Linked DNA regions of Drosophila melanogaster. Changing the gene in region 1 together with any one later gene gives a genetic interaction. Each region holds a gene or a part of one and is shown on either strand. Other genes may lie near its edges. The genes, in order: parvin, Chd64, wech and mew.

What was found.
Region 2: of parvin (region 1) and Chd64, changing one enhances a phenotype caused by changing the other (phenotypic enhancement), as found in Drosophila melanogaster (one study listed by BioGRID).
Region 3: of parvin (region 1) and wech, changing one suppresses a phenotype caused by changing the other (phenotypic suppression), as found in Drosophila melanogaster (one study listed by BioGRID).
Region 4: of parvin (region 1) and mew, changing one enhances a phenotype caused by changing the other (phenotypic enhancement), as found in Drosophila melanogaster (one study listed by BioGRID).

What each region holds. Positions count from the first base shown.
Region 1 is NC_004354.4:19,744,087-19,749,012, forward strand, and holds parvin (parvin), read left to right. Parts: upstream 1-1,954; 5' UTR 1,955-2,102; coding exon 2,103-2,223; exon of another isoform or gene 2,224-2,401; intron 2,402-2,555; coding exon 2,556-2,645; intron 2,646-2,724; coding exon 2,725-2,996; intron 2,997-3,163; coding exon 3,164-3,784; 3' UTR 3,785-4,372; downstream 4,373-4,926. Other genes in the region: Rpp20 (ribonuclease P protein subunit p20), read left to right, coding at 443-595, 669-1,019; CG33932 (uncharacterized protein), read left to right, coding at 1,021-1,467; Alr (augmenter of liver regeneration), read left to right, coding at 4,827-4,926.
Region 2 is NT_037436.4:4,119,343-4,124,038, forward strand, and holds the start of Chd64 (Chd64), read right to left. Parts: upstream 3,047-4,696; 5' UTR 2,868-3,046; coding exon 2,814-2,867; intron 1-2,813.
Region 3 is NT_033778.4:7,486,804-7,491,621, forward strand, and holds the start of wech (wech), read right to left. Parts: upstream 3,021-4,818; 5' UTR 2,530-3,020; intron 1,890-2,529; exon of another isoform or gene 1,653-1,889; intron 1-1,652. Other genes in the region: Coop (corepressor of pangolin), read right to left, coding at 4,246-4,818. UniProt on the Drosophila melanogaster protein: Vital for larval development. Plays a role in tumor formation. A crucial component for the physical link between integrins and the cytoskeleton in the epidermal muscle attachment sites.
Region 4 is NC_004354.4:13,254,128-13,259,034, forward strand, and holds the start of mew (multiple edematous wings), read right to left. Parts: upstream 3,057-4,907; 5' UTR 2,705-3,056; coding exon 2,490-2,704; intron 1-2,489. Other genes in the region: CG15742 (uncharacterized protein), read right to left, coding at 3,497-4,108. UniProt on the Drosophila melanogaster protein: Integrin alpha-PS1/beta-PS is a receptor for laminin.

The DNA.
Region 1 (4,926 bases):
CGCCAGCGGAAGTGTGTAAGTGCGCTAGTGTATGTGTGTGTGTGTGCGAGTGTTGCGATTTGGAGTGGCGAAGTGGCGCCGCGCGGCCAAGTTAATTCTTGCTTTGGATGGCATCGATCGGTGCCTTGGCTTACGGTCTGGTGTACTTGATAAGGTGCCAAAACGAAAAACATACCTTTGTTGTTACGAGAGTACGACGAAAAATTTTCAACTGGCGAGAATCTCACGAGCCTGGCGATAGCTATAGCGATGGGCTGGCTCAAAACTATCGAGAGCTGTCACGGTGACAGCTAGAGCCAGGCTGCCAGATCGCTCAGCTATTGCCTAGTGTTCGCTAGAGTTGGCCAGTGTTGGCCAGCGTGCGATTCGGAATGGAGTCGCGAGTCCGAAACTGCGACACGCGCAGGTAAATGGAAAACACAAGTCGCCTCCTCCGCCGCTGATGATGGGAAGCAATTATCCCGAGCACGGGACCAAGCCGAGATCCGCCAAATACCACAAACAACAGAACCACCGAGTGGTGCGCAAGCAGCCGCCGCGTCCCGCTGTTAGCGACCGCCACAACATCTACATCACCAGCAAGACAGACTTTAAGGCAAGTAGAACTGAACTCATGCTGGATGGTGAATCGCCCATGTGCTAAGTGACAGAGTCCATCTCCTTGACAGGCCCAGCAGCGCCGCTGCGAGGAGCTGATTAACTCCGGCGCCCACGAGATCTTTCTGCATTGCATGGGCTTCTCCGTAACCCGCGGCCTCAATATCGCCCTACGCCTCGTCCAGAATTCTGACGGCGCCCTTAGCTACGCCATCAACACCTCCACCGTTCAGCTGGTGGACGAACTGCACCCGCTGTGCGATGCCGAGGACATAACCTTCCGCCAGCGCAACAACTCGGCCCTGCACATCAAGATCCTCAATAACAGTCTCTTCGACATCGCCGTGCCGCAACCGTCGCAGTCCCAGACGCAAGCCCAGTCCCTGGGCCAGTTCCGAGGCAAGGCGAAGGCCAGGCAGTAGCATGTTCAAACTCTCGGAGCTGGTGCGCTGGCTGGGGCTCACCGAGTTCGAGATTCTGGTCAATCTGTGCGGCCTGCTGGTGTTCACCATCACGCTGACCGTCAAGCTCCATCTGCAGGCCAGGGCCGGACCCGGTGGCATACTCCCGGAGCCCATGGGCGACTGGTTCACCGTCTTCAGCCCCCTGTTCTTCATCGACATCTGCAACGCGTACTTTTGCGTCATTGTGGGCATCCGCATGTACCTGGACTCTAACAACAAGCGCAAAGCCCTGCATCGCTTCATGTGGAGCACGTATTTCCTGGTGCTCATCGCCATCTTCAAGTACCTGCTCTGCCTGAAGCTATCCAGCAAGACGGGCCTCGAGTATTCGGAGGTCTTCTCGCCGATCTTCGTTCTGTTGCAGCTCGTGGCTGTGCGCGCCTGCCAGTTGCCCAACTCCATCTAAACCATAGACGTAGTATAGCCCTAGTTCCGTATTATACATATATGTAACTATTCTGAAAGCCTTTAAATCATTGGATTGGTAGTTATCTGTATACGCAATGTGGTACAATAATTTTTAAGCGGTACGAAATTTATCTTTCTGGATATAGCATATCTAATATATACGAATTATATCTGATCTGATTCGGTATGAAGGACATACATACATACATATGTTGTTGTGCTTTTTAATCAATGATCTAATGATCTACGCATTATAATTTTTTTAAAATTTCCAACAATTTAATTTGATGTACAAATTCAAAAACTATTAAGCTGATATGAATTTCTTCTAGCTGTTGTTGTCAAAAGCCACATTTTTTTTAAATTATAAATGAAAAATAACATTTAAGCTCATTGTTTTAATTTAATCTAAGGTCTTTTTAAACAATTTTTATAATTGGCAATTTAGTTTTTATTCGATTTTTTTGGAAGTTTCTCTTGAGTCCGAACGCCAGTGTTGGACAACATGTGTGGTGGGCCTGCGATCAGGTGGCAGCCCCAAGGGAAACTGATTGCTCAGCTCCGCCCGAAACGAATCGAAACAATAACACAAACTGTTCACTTAGTCCGGAATTCTTGGAATCCAGCAGCACCATGTCCACACTGAACCGCCCTAAATCCCCGCACACGCCCACCGCCATTAAAAAGGGCGAGAAGGAGGACAGCTTCTGGGACAAGTTCAGCACTTTGGGCCGCAAACGCGGCACCCGCGAAGGTAAGTCCACTTGATGATTGGAGCTCTCCAGATGGCTATTGTCGGCCAGGAATTGATGGGTATCCCAGAGTATTCCATTCTTGGACCCCTGAACCTCCGAAAAGTGGCCCAAAATGACCCAATGGATCCTCCCCCTGCGCACTGGAAGCTCTTCTGGGAACAGATGTGCGGATGCGCTGATTAATCAGAACATTGCGTCACTGTTGACCCACACAAGCAAACGGCGCTGATAATCGAGAGTGTGTGCGTTTGTGTGAGATGGCCTTGTGTCGTCACCGTTTTTGTTTACCTTGTTGATACCCTAAATACGCATCCGCTTGCTCCATTTGCAGTGAAGAAGGTCCAAGAGGAGGGCAAGTACGCCATCGACTCGCCTGGATCGCCCAGCCAGTATGACATCCCGCCGGAGGACTATGCCCTGCGTAAGTGCATTCGTTTTGAAGGGGCATCTCCTCGTATACCCATCGCATTTCCCACAACTCATCACATTTGATCCTACAGGCGAGCACGAACAGCGCGCCGTCATCGATCCACAGTCCATCAGTGATCCCCAGGTGATAAAGCTGCAGCGCATCCTCGTCGACTGGATCAACGACGAGCTGGCCGAGCAGCGCATAATTGTTCAGCACCTGGAAGAGGACATGTATGACGGCCAGGTGCTGCACAAGCTGTGGGAGAAGCTCACCGGCAAGAAGCTGGACGTTCCTGAGGTCACCCAGTCAGAGCAGGGCCAGCACGAGAAGCTCAACATCGTCCTGAAGGCCGTCAACCATGTAAGTAGTAGTAGTTTATGTTTTGCAGGATTTAAAAATCGGAGTTACCAACATTTAATTATTTATCCATTCTTAAAGTCGAATAGAATAATTTTTATTCGATTTACAATTAACATTCCCTTTTCTCGCGATATAAGAATAAATTTTATCCTTGCCCACACCCACAGACACTCGGCTTTCACCAAAAGATTCCCAAGTGGTCGGTGGCCAGCGTGCACTCGAAGAACATTGTGGCCATATTACATCTGCTGGTGGCACTGGTGCGTCACTTCCGGGCGCCCGTTCGCCTGCCAGAGAACGTGTTCGTGACCGTCGTGATTGCGGAGAAGAATGCGGGCGTGCTGAACGCGCAGAAGTTCCAGGAGCAGATAACGTCCGAGTACGACGACCTGGGCATGCGCTGCGAAAAGGACGCCTTCGACACGCTGATCGACTGTGCGCCGGACAAGCTGGCCGTGGTGAAGAAGTCCTTGATCACGTTCGTGAACAAGCACCTGGCCAAGCTGAACTTTGAGATCAGCGATCTGAACACGGACTTTCGCGACGGCGTATACCTGTGCCTGCTGATGGGCCTGCTCGGTGGATTCTTTGTGCCGCTGCACGAGTTCCATTTGACGCCGCAGGACGTGGATCAGATGGTCAGCAACGTGGCCTTCGCCTTCGACCTGATGCAGGACGTGGGCCTGCCCAAACCAAAGGCGCGGCCGGAGGACATCGTGAACATGGACCTCAAGTCCACCCTGCGCGTCCTATACAGCCTGTTCACCATGTTCAGGGACTTCGCCTGAGTGAAACCCGGATGGAACGAGCCAGCGGGTTGCAGGAGCAACAAGCGGCGCCAATTTTACATTTTATATTAACTTTTTGATAGTGTTTACACGCCTAATTTATGTGCGTTCTCGAAACTGATTGTAGGCGATGCAGCGGTTAAAGCTTACTGATCCTAACTCTCAAAACCACAACTAAATGCTGCGTCGCGTATAATCAGCCCAAGGAATGTTTATATATATATATATATATTTATGTGTCGTACGTCTAACCACTGCGATCTGCTCCAGATTCAGATTGCTCGGAACAGGAAGGAGCAGAGCAGAGCAGAGCTAACCCAAACCCAAAATCCGGCGGCCAGTTGTTAACTTGTCTTACTCACGTGCCAGACGTTGTAGTTGTTACTAAGTGAATTTATTGTATTAATACATTATTTGAACACAATAACCGAGATTGTGCCTTTAGATCACACAGAGCTTTTGCAAATTATGTCACAGATCAGATTTTAACGCTGTAAATGTAGAAGTTTACGGAAAAGTCTTAAAAAAAAATTTTATTGTGTACGTTAAAAATTTGGATCAGAAAAATCAATAAATATTGCCAATAGCATATGTGTTATTCTATTTTAAACAGTTCCAAGGCGCAAAATTTATCTGGGGCTGCAGCACTCACAAACGCCAGCTTCCATCCTATTCACATGTAAGTTCTTTCGAGCGTCTCGAATTGATTGAGAAACAAACCTTAGTAATTTTCTGAACGCTGTGCTATTTGAATTGTCGCGGTTGCGCGCGCAACTCGCAACGGTCTGGTATCGATCACAGCTGCGAGCAGGCTGCCAGATCGCTTCCCGTTCGGGAACGATTTCGCATCGATTTTCGATTGCTGGCCGGTATAATTTGAAAATGTTACTTTGCTGACCGGATTTTGGTCCTTGGCCAGATGTTGGCCATGAATCTAAAAGCCAGTATTTAGTAACTTGCGTTGATTGCAGCCGCTTAACTAAGCCGCTTAGCCAGATATGTCCTAATGTTATGTGTTTCGTTTCGAAACAAGGTGGCAACCATGCGCATGCTTTTTATGATTTTCACAATAGCCGAGCGAAGTTTCAAGATTCTAGAACTACCCACCACACCAACGCTTCTGCTGCGCCGCCAGTCCCACA
Region 2 (4,696 bases), on another chromosome or scaffold:
CGCGTCTTCAAAAATCAATCCACGAAATGGCCAGATCTGGTGATTATTCACTATGCCACCGCCGATTTCGCTTTCTTTTGCGATTCGAATGCGTCATGATCCATGACAATTGCTGACCGATATCTTTTGGGTGGATAAATAAATGGGAAAATGACAAAAATTCCACAACGATAACATAAACAAAATCCGCAAAAATGTAACGAGGTCAATTGCGTACATACATATATGATTTTTGAGTCTGGTTTACGAGCGACCAACTTCGACTTCAGTTGACTGAGTTGTTGTATGGGCCCCCATCGAGTGCCTTTTTCGGAGGGATTTGGACAGGGGGCAGAATTTCATTCCATTTTCATTTGTCGAGGTGTTTTCGGCACTGGCAGTAGTTTCACCGGAAATCCAAAACAGCATTTGATTTACGATAAAGCCGCTGTCGACCACCTCCCGCGACTGTTTATGGCTTATCTAAAACTAGCGGCCAACAAGTGTTAAATTTTTGGGGGAGAGGTTCGGGAATGAATACCTAGCTATACCCATCTAGGAGCACGGAGTTCATGTGGGCCAAGTGTTCCACTTACGTGTCGCCCGCACTGATAGAGATACCCGTACCTATACTGATATATAGATACAGATACAGGGAGGTGCGTGCTGCGGATGTACAAGTGTGTACACAGTGTCTTTCACATATGCACTGCTAATTGAGTGTGGATTCTTGACTCCGAAAAAGGCCAAGTGATTAGTACGTGGCCCATGTGCCGCCAATGCGGTGAGATACAGCTGCGAGCGTGGAGGGAGTTGGAAAAGAAAACAACTACAGTGCGGCTTCTTAGGGGTGAATTTCCAGAAAGGAAATAGTATCATGCTGAATCTAAGATTGCTAAACTAATATATTCAATCGTTTATGTAGTTACAAATTAGTAAACATACTTTGAGTAACTTGAGACCTTTCTGCCTCATTCCTAGAACTTTCCCGACAGCTGGTGCTACGATCCCAGGAAAGGGTTGAAAATAAAGGGGCTACGAATTCCCTGGCCGAAACTTGAGATCCATGCCAATTTGTCGGTGACTGGTCGTAAAAGTCGGAAAAAGCACACACGCAAGCACGGAGTGTAGAGAACCCATGAGACAAACAAAAATATTGCTTTCATACCTTTTTGCCTCACTTTTGTTTTGCTGTTTGCTTACGCCACATACTCAGTTTTAAGTGCTCATGTGGTGGAAAAGGTGCTGCTATCGCCTCTACCTCCTGTCACCCCCAAAAACTCAAAACCCGAACCCGAATCCCCCTCAGAAGATATGAGTGACTCCCAGCGAGCGGCAAAAGTGCTCAAACTAACAACGCCTTCGAGTTGAATGGATCGCGAAGGGATCGAGGAGCACCAGTGGAGGGACAGCTGAAGGAATGACATCATCGCCTTCGGCTCCTGGGGAGCCATTCGATCGCGGCTTGGAGTCGCGCCAGCAGCTGCGCCTCCAGGCACTCGCCTCTATTTCTCTTATTTTTCTATACCCTATGCCAAGGTTCTTCCTATTCCAAGTACCAAAATGTTTTAGCTTAACATGATATGGCATAAATAAACACTACAGAGTTCTCATAATATTTTTCATAACCATAGTGCCTGATATATCACCATAAACCACGTTAAAACATACTTCATACTGTGTTTTAAAACATACTGTGTTTTAAAAATGCGCTAGTACAGATAATACCGATAAACAAGGCCTTTTGCCAAATGGCTGACTCAAGAGAATGAAATCCGGGTGGAAATACTTTTAGATAAGCAAAGCTAAAGCAAAACAAAATATTTCAGTTTGTCAACAACTTGGTAAAGTGCTCCTCAAGGGTATACAAAACTTCGGATATGAAAAATCTCGATTATTTGTTTCGTTTTTTGTTTGGGCAATGCTGTAACTGTAGTTGTCTTGTTGTGGATTTCGTCGGACTGCACTTAATCCCCTGTGCCGGCGACATATACAATTTCACTTGGGGCTGCCCAGGGGCGGTTGGAATTGCGTAACCCCGACTTGACGAGGGCCAAATGGCCGAAGGGTACGGGTAACCCATCCCCAACCCCATCCCACCCACAAAAGCCCGATGCATTTGTATGAGTGCATTTGAGGCAAAGTGCTGCTAATGGACGGAACTAATGTCAATTTACATTGCGGAAGCTACCATGCTGCAATAGTTGGGTTGAGATCATCCAAAGGGTCTTCCTTCTACAGTGGATACTCCACAAGTAGCACCTATGTATTCAGACTTGCTTTTATTGCAGCACAATTAATTAGGATTATATTAGCTCATCTTTATAATGTATACTGTTCGAACTTGGGATATTATTCATATCGAAATTTCCAGAGCTTTACTAACTACTACTAATTGTTTGATTTATGGATAACCAACTGTTTTCTCGATCTTCGATTTGAATCACCCGCACTGACAATGCCTCAAAATCACCTAAATCATCTTCAAGCTTTCGAATTACGCATGCATTACACATGTGTGTACATGCATGTATATATTCCTATATACATATGTATGTACATAAATACTTGTTCGACTTATCAGCGAAATGAGGTCATTCCTTGTTAGACGCTGGCAATTTCAAGACCATTTTTGGCTAATTTTTGGCATTTGGCGCGCGAAGATAAAATCTTGACAACGCAGCGCCAAATAAAGTCAATGCAGCTCTAAACTCACGCACACACCCGTGCAAAAGTTGATTTTTTTTTGGGCAATTTGTTTATTGTGTTGTTTTGTTTGGCGCTCTTCGGTTTTTGGGTGGGGGGTGCGGTTGTTGTTGCTATTTGGTACTTACTTTGCGCTGGGCCTCGGCGGCAAAACCAGACTTCGCTGCACGGTTGGACGCCATAGTTATTTGATGAAGAAACGGGTTTGCAGGGAGCTAAAATGTAGGTTGGTCTTGGGCTGAACTGCACCACTGTCCACTGGAATGTGTTTGCCGCGGAATAAATCGGAGGGAGCGCAAGGGTTAAGGCCAAGTTGGTTGGGCTACGTCCGTTCGCAACGAAAACTTACTACGTTATGAAAGGCGGTCCGAGCTGCGAAACAGAGGAAAGCTCGCCAACAGTTTAGTGTTGTAAAGCACACTCAGTCTTGTACCTAGTAGGTTGGGTACAACATAAAAGCTCCAAGCTGCGCTTATCAGCGGCAGCTGATTTGTTATGATGGCATTGATGATGTCATACCGCTTTGTTAACGGCAGTTGTTTTTCAAATAATAAAACATGGAACTATCGAGCACTGGAAACAATTTTACACTATATAAGTATAAATTTAAAATTTCTGGTTCATTTGCCTTCTAAACCAGTAACTTTTGTTTTCAATAGGTTTTGAAAAGATAATGAATCTGAATCAGTATGATTTCCATGATCCACCTGTTGCTTTACTTTTAATAGAAGTCAACCACTATTAGTGCTACTTTTTGCGGTTGTGTACAAACTATCCGATAAGATTCGCCAGAGTAAAGTTCCATTGAAAACTTCCTATGTTCCCCCTTATCGAGAGGTTCTTGCAGCAGCATTCCATTCAGATGACCATGACATTTTTGGGGGACTTTCTGGAAACCAAGAAGTAGCGAATCGCATTTGGATGATTGCCTTGAGAATTAGTTACAGTTTATTCACATAAATATATATTTTGTTTAATCGTATAAATTATGCAATTGTGGATTTACGATAAGAAGCGAATTTCTTTAGTGTTTCAGTGTGGTTCTAAATAAATAGGGGAATTGCTTGTATAATTTGTTGTTCTATTTGTCGTGTTTGTTTTTTTTTTTTTATGTGTGGGTTGTGATATATTTAATATTAGAAATACATAATTCAGCTTGATCTTCAAAGGTTTGTTATGTTGGTAGCATACACATTTAACTTATGTGGGCTTGTCTTTTGTTTTGATTATATCGCCATTTGGTTTATAACATAGGAAAGCAGTAATTAACTAGAAGTTAGGGCTTATTAGTTGCATACACATATTGCCATTATAATATATTATTCTATTAACGGTTTTCGCATGCGAATAATATGCCTGCTATATCTGTTTTTATAACCGATCTGCATACATCGATCATGCATCCTACTAATTGTTAAGGCCCTTTCGCTCAGATACAAGTGGGTAGTGTGTGATTTTCGTATTATATATAAATCGATTCATTTTTTACAATCTGTTATGCATGCTTCGAGGGGGACGACTCTTTAAAAAATAATCATCATAATTTATTTTTGCACATGGATAAATACAAATTACAAATATAAATGTGTATATGTATATATAAAAAATCATTTACCAAAAAATATATACGTAGACGCAAAAGAGACGCAATAATATACAGAGAACATTCCTATAATAAAGGGTGACATAAGCATAATCAGATTTGGGACTCCTACTACAAATAGTACAACATGGTAGAACTACCAGTTCCACTAGACCTAGGCATGTGTATATCAAGCACTGACATCTGTGATTACAGTGGGTGTATATATCCGCGTGTAATTGTTTTATTGTTTACAGGCTACCTATGTATCTGCTCGACTAGCTGCGAACAGTATCAGCAAATAATTTCAATTGAATTTCCTTATTTCCTCCTCTTTCCTATGTTTTTTTTTTTTCGTTTGTTTCGTTTTGTTTAAATAAATAATACCTCACGATTCGTTGGCTCAACGTATTAAACTTAACTTACAGA
Region 3 (4,818 bases), on another chromosome or scaffold:
ACCCTCACGGGGCCCCACCTCAGCGCTCAACCTTATCACGTAGTTACAATATTTTCCTGTCTTTCCACCCACCACCTCGCTTCGCCAGCACTGCGCAAGCGACTTTTCCGGCGGGGAGAATGGGGTGGCAAACACAAAGCGACTACGTCATAAAACAACAGACGGAACTGGTTTCCATCTCTAAGACGAGGAGCGTAGACCCAATAAAACGACCGACTTTCATCCCTCCACCGGGTCAGGATTACGGAGCTGTTTCTTCCACACTCTGCGGAAAACTTGACGACAGGAACGTGTATTTCTTCCTTCATTCTGATTTTGGGTGATTTGAGTTAATTTATAGTATGACTTGAGGGGTAGCAAATCCAGTTTACGAATGGGGTTAAGGTGGAAAAGGGTTATTGAATGTCTGCGGGTTGAGTTTAGGCCTCCCGTTGCTCTCGTCAAGGAAAAATATTAAAGTCAAGCGATTGATGATTTTTGTCGATCTGTGGTGAAAACAATTTGCCTGGCAGTTCAGTTCTTATATTAAGATGCACTATGGCCCAGAATATATATTAATAAAAAGTTGGTGTAAAGGATCACACCCCTTTAAATGGATTTGCATTTCGATAAACAAGAACTTAACGAACTTGTTCGGTTTAATCAGTTCTAAGTAAAATTTTAAAGCAAACCAAATTGGAAATTTAAGCCAGGAAAATGTATATACTTAATGCGCAAATATGTTGATATTATTAAATAAACCCATTTTAAGGACAAGATTTTACGTTCCTTGAGTTAAGGTAACTTTGAATGTTATTACCGTTTTGACAAGGAGATTTTAAAAAACGACAAGATGTTAGGGATGTTTTAACATCTATGAATTAGCATTCTATAAAAAGAAAATACACTCCTTAAAGTGTTTAAAGGGAAATCACAACAACGTGAATTTCCATACCATCTGTAGTTTAAGAAAAGCGGTTGTGCGTAATGGTTGCGATTGGATTGCGAACAGTCCTGATGAAATCAATAAACAAACTCAGCTTTGGTACCCTTTTTTTCGGCTAAACAATGCAACGCCCTAGGAAAGGAATGCACTTCTAGGATATTTTCGAACCGTGTAGACAGCGGCAACAAAAACAAGGATAAGAAGAACAAGAGCAGGAAAAGGACTCCATGCAGAAAGAAGAGGGGGAGGAGAAGGAGGAGGCATCAGCGAAACTACCCTTGTCACCCTTGAACGTTTTCCATTGAAACGGGTCTGTCTCCGAGTCGCAGGACGTGGAAAAAACACGACCAAGAAGTTAAAGTCCTTTCACAAACACACAGACACACACATACACACACGGTTACAGCGCTACATTTGTGTTCGTGCAGCGAGGATACGACGCAAAAACATAGGGGGATGAGGACGAGGGTTGTATTCACACAAGTTTCTCTACATGTCCGTATGTAGGTGGTTTCTGCGCCGCAAATCGTCCGTATATTTGTGTATGTATATTTTCCAAAAACGGAAAAGCGTCGAGAGGAATCTTTTGGGAAATCTTGGGAGTAGTGAAAATCAATATTTGCATTTGGCAGCAATTGGACTAAAGTCTATTTATCAAATTCTGTTGATAGTGGCACGCTCGTGCCTCCTCTTTCGCTCTCTACGTGCATCTCCTTCGCGTACACACCTTTTTTAGCAGCCGCATGCAAGACGCTTGGCTTTTGTTGTTGTTGGGTCGCGCGTTCAGTACCGATTTTCGCTAATTGATTCGATTTTTAATTTGATGCGGTGCGGATTCCGTTTTGAATTGGCTTGGCTTTGCCTTTTCAGCGGATTTTCGCGAGGCGAAATTCGTTTTCCAGAGAGTTCTTATGCGTAATCCGTTCGCTCCGACAATCGTGTATTCCTTATTCCGACTGAAGAAGATACATCCGAAACCGAAACTGAAAACACAACATAACACTCGAGTCGCTCGCTCTCTCTCTCTCTCTCTATCTCTCTCTCTGTTGCTTTTGCCGCTCATCAACATCATCATCATCGCCTATGTAGCCTAAACAAAATATAAAAAATAAACCCAAATGTATCTCACAGTTTGTTTTTTAATTTTGATGTGCGCGCGCGCTCCAAAACCGTCGCTCTCTCTTTCGTTTCGCCCGCTCTCTTCTTTTCCTATTTCTTCCGCTCTCTGTTTCTCCTTCGCAGGGCGCACGGACACAGGCACACTCATGCACGGGAGGCTCACATGCACATTTTATCTTCTATTTATTTTCACTTATGCCGCAAAGAACTGCGTTTAATACAGAGGGTCGATGCAGAAGTTTGGTCAGATGTACTGTTACTAACCTCAAACAATCGAATCGCTTGATGGGGCATAACGGCTAATAGGATAATGGCGTCCGCTTCGGTCCAGGGTATCAGGGGCGTATGGGTCCTAAACAAGATTTCCTTTTATGCGGATTACACAGCTAACATTTCCCCCAACAAACTTAGTTAATAGCACTGAATTGATTTACGCACATATATTATGCTAACTTAATTCGTGCCCCATGGCTTTTTTAACTCACTTGTCAAATTCATTCACTCTACGCGGTCCTAGGGTATCCCATAGTCGTCACTCCACTTCAATTCGATTTAATCGTCAGTTCTTATTCGTTTATTATGCGAGTGTTTGATCGATGTAAAAAGCTGGCAAACTCTTTGAAAATCGCTTATCGTCGCTGTGCTTACAGATTGTTTACATTTTCCAAGCGTTTTCGGGCGAATCTTATTTACCCTTGGTTCCACCCTCGTGCACTTTTCCTTCTGCAAGCGAACGAGAAATCGAAAAAATCCATGAACAATTATTCCTATTGTGCGCCTGCTTCTTCTTCCAATTACTTTGGCGGCGTGTTTTAGCTGCAGTCTGCGGTGGCGCCCAGCTTTTTGTTTGGCCCAATCGAACGGCTCCAATTCTGACCCACTTATTGCGGCGGGGACTAGGATTCGAATTCGGCTCAAAATCTTCACTCCAACCTTCACGCACGCATTTAACCATCAAACTGCAAAACTCACGTTCATGCGCTCGCCGCTGCCGTTGCCTCTTCCTCTTCTTCTCTGCCCGGCTCTCTCGTTACGACGCTGCCCTTCTGCTGCTGCTGGTTTTTGTTGTTTTTGTCATTCGCGCCCCTGTTCGTTCAGGGTATCGCGGGCATAGCCGAATTGGAGGTTTAGTTTTTGATCCTCACAATGGCTGGTCACACTGATTCTGCTAACTGTTATATTTCAATTTTTATAAATAGTATAAATGATTATAATAAGTATAAATGATGGTCAATGAATGGCCATGAACATTTTTGTGATTACAAATCAGAGGGGAATCATACTGCTGAAATTAAAAGGAATTTTAAATTAAAATTAAATAGTGTTTCACCTTAAATTTTGGAATTCCAAATGAGTTCCGAAAAGACAAAACAGCATTCAACATTTTAACAACAATGCATGAACCACTAAGAATTTTTATGGATTCTGCGTCTAAATTTCAGACTCTACTCATTAGAAGATGAGCTTTCTGTTTAGCGAAAGTTTTTGAAAGTTAAACTCCATCCAATTGGACCCTATTAAGCAAATCGCAGAACTGTTAAGCCCGCCATTATTCAACGAAAGCTTTGAATCATTTTTAAAACATGGGGAGATGTTTTCAGGCAAAAAACACAACACACCAAAAGGGAATTATCAAGTTGCCTAGGCTCGACCAAGTTTCGCCCATCCGGAGCGCATTGTGATTGGTGAGCGGAGAGAGCGAGCGAGAGCGCGGTACATTAGCATTAACGGCGCATGTGGCGCGAAAATGCGGAGGGAATCACCTTGTGGTTGTTGTTGTTGCCGCGTGCACCACCCTTAAAGAACTTGTTTTGCACTGACAGAAATTTTGAGCCGCCCGTGGCTGGAAAAATGCAATTGCAACAGTGACCGTGGATAATTGGGAACTCGAACTGCGGGCGGGGTGCGCAGGTAAAAGGCGCAGGTGCACCGGAGCGCAGATACAGGTAAAAGTGAGCGGTTATCCTGAGGAAGAAACAAGTAATCATGCTGGCGTGATCGTCTATTTGAAGTGTAAATATGTATTGTAATGCAATATGGTATGTATTGAAGTGTGTTGGTATGAAGGAAAGCAGGCCGGAATACTGATTACATGCTACGTATGTAGGCAGATTCACAGAGTTAGTCAGTCGCGTTCTTATAATACTGTAAGCTAGGCTTATAAAGTAAATCTCCCCACATTCCCCCGGATATACGCGTCCTCAGCCAAACTCCAGTTCCTCGATGAGCACGTTCTGTAATTTCTGGCGCACGCGCAGACGCCGGCGGCTGTCCAATCTTTGCAGGAAGGGCATCAGACTGAGCAGGAACATGCGATCCGCCTCGTCCTGGAGATCTCCACCAGAGGGATCCGTATTCGTGGCCACATCCGTGCTGATATACTTGAATGGCAGATCGGCGGTGGGTGACTGCGAATTGGAGAACACCTTGGCCTCCTGCTCGCTCTTCAGGCTGGATCCGCCGTGGCTAGTGTTATTCGCCTTGGTCTTGGTCACCGCCTGCTCCATTTCGTCGTCGTCATCGAGCACTTCTATGGTGAATACACCGGAACTGGCAGCATCGGCACGATTGCCGCGTTCCTCTTCCAAGTTCTCCGAGGCGGCATCTTCGTCGAAGTCATCGTCATCCTCCTCGTCCTCCTCCCTCTGACTGGGCTCCGACTTAAATCTCTTATTCTCCGGCGGCTGGCAGTCGCGATCCTCGAAGAACGAACTGATGTCCGAGAAGCTGGGCTGGTGTAGCTCCGAGTCATAGCTGTGGCTGAGCTCGCATAT
Region 4 (4,907 bases), 6.5 Mb from region 1:
TTGGCGTCTGTTGACCTCATTTCGCCGAAAAGTTTTTTAAGTTCTTTCTTAGTTTTTGTTCTCTTCTATATTTTTTGGCGCAAACAAGGAACACATGTTGTCGGCATAAACACAACCAGTGAGCTGTTCGCGATGCAGAAGAAGTATCCCACATGAGATACAACATCTACGAGATACACCGAATCTCAGAGATTTATTTACATGCAAGCGAGTTAAAATCGTGCTAGCATTTTCATACCATTTTCAATCTGCAATATATTGAGTATTCAGCGCAATGAAATTGTAGTTCATTAACAAAGCCAATCATTATTTAATGCCGATTGATTGAAGGTGCTAATTAAAAAAAGTCGCCTACATATATACACATTTTTTATGGCGCTGTAAATGCCACGGCAAGGGTACGAAAACAATTGTATAGCTTAATCGACCATCCTCAGCGGCTTATCTCAATTTGTACCATATCATCAAAGGTAATAATTGCGCCACGTAACCGCTGGTATATATGGCTGGTACAAAAAAAAAATTAAGATGGGCCAGCGATAAGCGAGTCACATTATTTGCATACGTACCTTTTTTTTCATTAATAAAACAAATATGCGACAATCGCAAAGTGCAAACAAAACTGAAAAACAAAAGGCGCGCAATAAACGAGCTGGAAATTCAAGTTAACTGTGCAATTCACTGCAGTTATCGGACTAGCCTTCGATGCGAAAAAAAACAGCAATTTCCGTTTGGATTACAGCTTCTTCCGATTTCAAGTGCGTCATTTAAAGACGCGATGCAGATTTAAGAAACAGCGTGGGTCACCACTTCTTGCCAAACGGGGTCACCACCATATAATATCACCATTACATTGAAGTTAAAGCTCAAAGTTTATCATGCATCTCATTTGCAAATTTATTTTTATTATTTTTTTTTTTTTGAAGGTCTATTGATTTTCAGTTGGACTTTCAATACGTGACATTTCGTTACTTAACCCAAATGACTCAGGCTGGTACACTTAGACTCGTCGGCCGATAAATGATATATATAAACATATATATGATAAGTATAATAATAATATCCCTTTCCCTTATTCGGGTGACCGAAGGAGAGGGCACTACTTGGCAAGAGAGAGAGAAGGGGAACATGACTTTTTCACGCCTACGTAGGCATTACGCACCGAGTGATAGCGATGGGGCATGCCGCGAATGGCACAATTTCTTTTTTTTTACCACAATACATGGTTAAGAAACCACACCATGTGGCGGGAATAACTCGATTGCCAGTTCAGTTGTATTAAATGTATTAAAATGTTAGCAACTCAGTTTTTTTCGCTGCAAATTGGCGCATCCAAGTCGCAGCTTGTATTGATTCCAGATTTGTTGTCTGCCCATTTTTATGGCCACTGGCCGTCTGGCTCCGTTTTGTCTACCGAGTTTGGTTTGGCCAATGTATCTATCTATCTATCTATCTATGTATTGCTTGTATTGTATATAGAGAATGCGAAAAGGAGTTGGCCAACTTATAAAGTCGCCAATACGAGACATTTAATGAGCACCAAGCCCTCGCCAAAAAGAATCTATGACAAATGCAAATAAATCCACATCCGCTTCAGTCGCAATAGTTCAAGGGTTTAACCCATGTCGGGGGAAACATTAAAACAATTCGTCTGTTCTTCGACCAACTATGCTTATCAGTTGCACAAAAATAAACAATCAAAACCATAAAATATCAAACAGGCAAATTCTCAGATAGTAAGGATGACAAATCGTTTAAACTGTTGAAATTCTTCAAATAGCAATTCGAAAAAAAAAAAAGAGAAACAAACAAATATAATATTTAACACTTATCTGCTGTCATTGCATTTGGCATATGCATTCAGTTTATTATGGTTTGTTTCGATTCGAAAAACATCTAAAACCTGGCATCATCTCTGGAAATACTCGATATTCAAACAATTTATGGTAATTCAACAATAAAAACACGATTTCAAACAAGTTTCGCGCATTAGCAAACTTTGATAGCCCCCCCCCCCCCCCTGAACAACAGCAACAAACACAGCGATTGCAATGCAAATTCTTCTTATTATTATTATTATTTTATTATTTGTTGTTGTTGTTGTTATTGTTCGTGTGCTGCTGATTAATAACAATCAATGCCAGTCAATTAAGCTGAAATCGATTTGGCGAATATAAAAACCTGTTTGCGCACCAACAAGATTCTTGGCGCGAATTTCCGATTCGGACACGAATTTGGATTTGGATTCTTCTCTACCTGTTCTTCAGCATTATTGTTTACCTAACATTTTTCTAAAGAAAAAAAACACAGCTGAGACAACAAGACACTTTTCGAATAAATCTTTTGGATGCAAGTTTAAAATTGATTGTTGAAAAATAAAAATATGCCTAAGCGTTTAAATGAACTGCAGATAATGATTCACTTTGGAAGTTCGCATACTTTGGACGCATCTTTCAGATACTTATCTATCCACTTAACTATCCACTTACCAGTTGGTCTTGTTGGGCCCATTGGCCTCGCCAATAGTGTGGGTGGCCACCGAGTAGCCGAAATGCGAATGCGGATGTCCGTACTTCACAATGGGCAATCGCTGTTCTAGGTTGAAATTGTAGCAAGTGAGAACGCATTGCAGGATTATCAGAATACCAAGATTCTGTCTTAGCCGGCAGTTGGGCCGTATGGTGGTAAACGGTAGCTCCAACATCGTTAATTTTATGTTTTTTTTTTTTAATATATATTTTATAAATATTTCGTGCACGTGCACCGAACACGGCAAAGTGATTACTTTTTCCTTTGCACTATTGCAAACAAAACAATGAACCGAAAAAAAACACGCACGCACACACACACACACACACTAAATCCGTTGAGATCTTTGGATCAACAGGTAGTCCACGTATTTTTCACTTTTGCTCGTATATTTCTTCGTTTCAGTCACACAGCAAAAAAAAAAATGATTATTACGTAAAGAATTAGACATTGATAGCGTGCGTTCGAAGCGGCAGATATTTTCTCTTCGCTTCGCCTTCTTCGACGGGCAAACGAAAAATAAAATGCTTCGCACAGAAGAGCTACACTAAGCTACTGAGCTACCATCGAACATGGTTCGAACATGGTTCGAACATACATGTGCGCTGTGCAAGCAGTGGTCAAACATATAGCAAGCAGACGCACAAGCAGTTCCACTACACTAGAGGGCTGGATAACATCATTCTCTTTGTTTGCAATTCGGGCAGCGCGGAGGTAAGTCAAAGTTTGTGTTTTGTTGTTGATATGTTATTTATTAATCTCGACATGCGTTGCACTCGATTAATTTAAAGTTAATATAGAAGTCATACGACATCAGAATCACTATGACAGTAGAACGTCTCAGTCCAGGTAGATGCTATCCAAAGAAATGTATATATATCCAAAAGCAAGGTAAAATATCACAGCAGCATCTTTAGTGACCATATTGATATACAAACAAATTCGACCAAATTCTAATTTGCTGACCTTAGCCGAAACGCCAAGTGCGCATATGGTTGATAACTTGATAACTTTTCGAAATGCGCATGCGGGCATCTATTGCAGGAGGATATGGGAGTGAAATGTCCCGAGCTAAACGGCGCTCCAACTGCTCATTGCGGCCGTTGAGCAAATTCTGCCATATCTGGGCCCGCTTATCCAACTGTTGAGCCTGCACGGCTATCCGTCCATAGGAAACGGGCTCATACGCCAGCTTCAGTTGATCGAGCAGATTGGTGAGCTCTTCAATGGCCTGCTGCAGTTTTCTCATGGCACTGTCATGCATGATGAACGTCTCATCGGCTTTGCTGCCGTATTGACATATATATTTCATCCTGACCCAATTGGACGACGCGATACAATTCTTGCGGCGCAATATTTGCATCTTTAGCATGTCCATAAGTATTTCGGCCAGATCGATGGGTGGCAACTCGGCGGGTATCACCAAGCGGATGGCAAAATAATTGGGCCTACTGTACTTGTCCAGGAAGGTGCTAATCACGCCGTCTTGGGCATTACGCACCGAGCGATAGGGCGGCTTAATGCCGCGAACTGCGCCCAGCAAGCAGTGGTCGATCTTATTGCATCGAACTTTTGACATCGAACCGCGGTTTGTCGTGTAAAAAGCGTGTTAGAAATGTGTTTTATTATACAAGTAAGCTGCAATGGCCGTGTTTGTTATCTAGAAACTTTCTCGGAATGGTAACATACGTGTGTACAGAAAGTTAGCGATTGGCATCGTCACTCACCGTCGTAGTACTGGTAAATTGATTTTGCTTCGTCGAACAGCCCGGCAGAAAAATTTTAAAAAATTATAAAATTTTGCTGTGTAAAAGTAAGAACGAGAACAAAATTTTGTTGTGCTCCCAAAAAAGTAAAAGTACTTAATTATCCGAATCAGGTAGCTACACTTAACTCAATGACTACTGGACGCTTAAATACGTAAACTTTCGTCTCTAAATTTCCTCGCACACTAGATTTGAATTTTCGTTCAGTCGGATATTATCGATAAATCGATTATTGTGGACCACGAATTTTCTGGTATAAATGCGGTAGCAATTTAAGACTTCTCTTACCGGAAAATCTTAAAAAATTAAATGATTACATTTTTTGTTAGTAAAAGCCCGGCGAGAATTTATTAATATTTATACATATACAACTTTTATATTAAAGAGCTCTCGAGCACTCTACCAATTTAAAAAATCAACCGCTTGCTTTATAAATTTAATTATTATTATTAAAAAAAAAAATCATGCAAATACGAGTCGTTAGTTATTAAACTTGGCAAAAGAAACGTATATTTAAAAACCAAATCCCATATGGATGTACTAACAAGTTCGCCAGCCCTGGATTCCTAGGCGCATGTGCTGAATAAAATTTTAGATCACATCTTCCTTGAA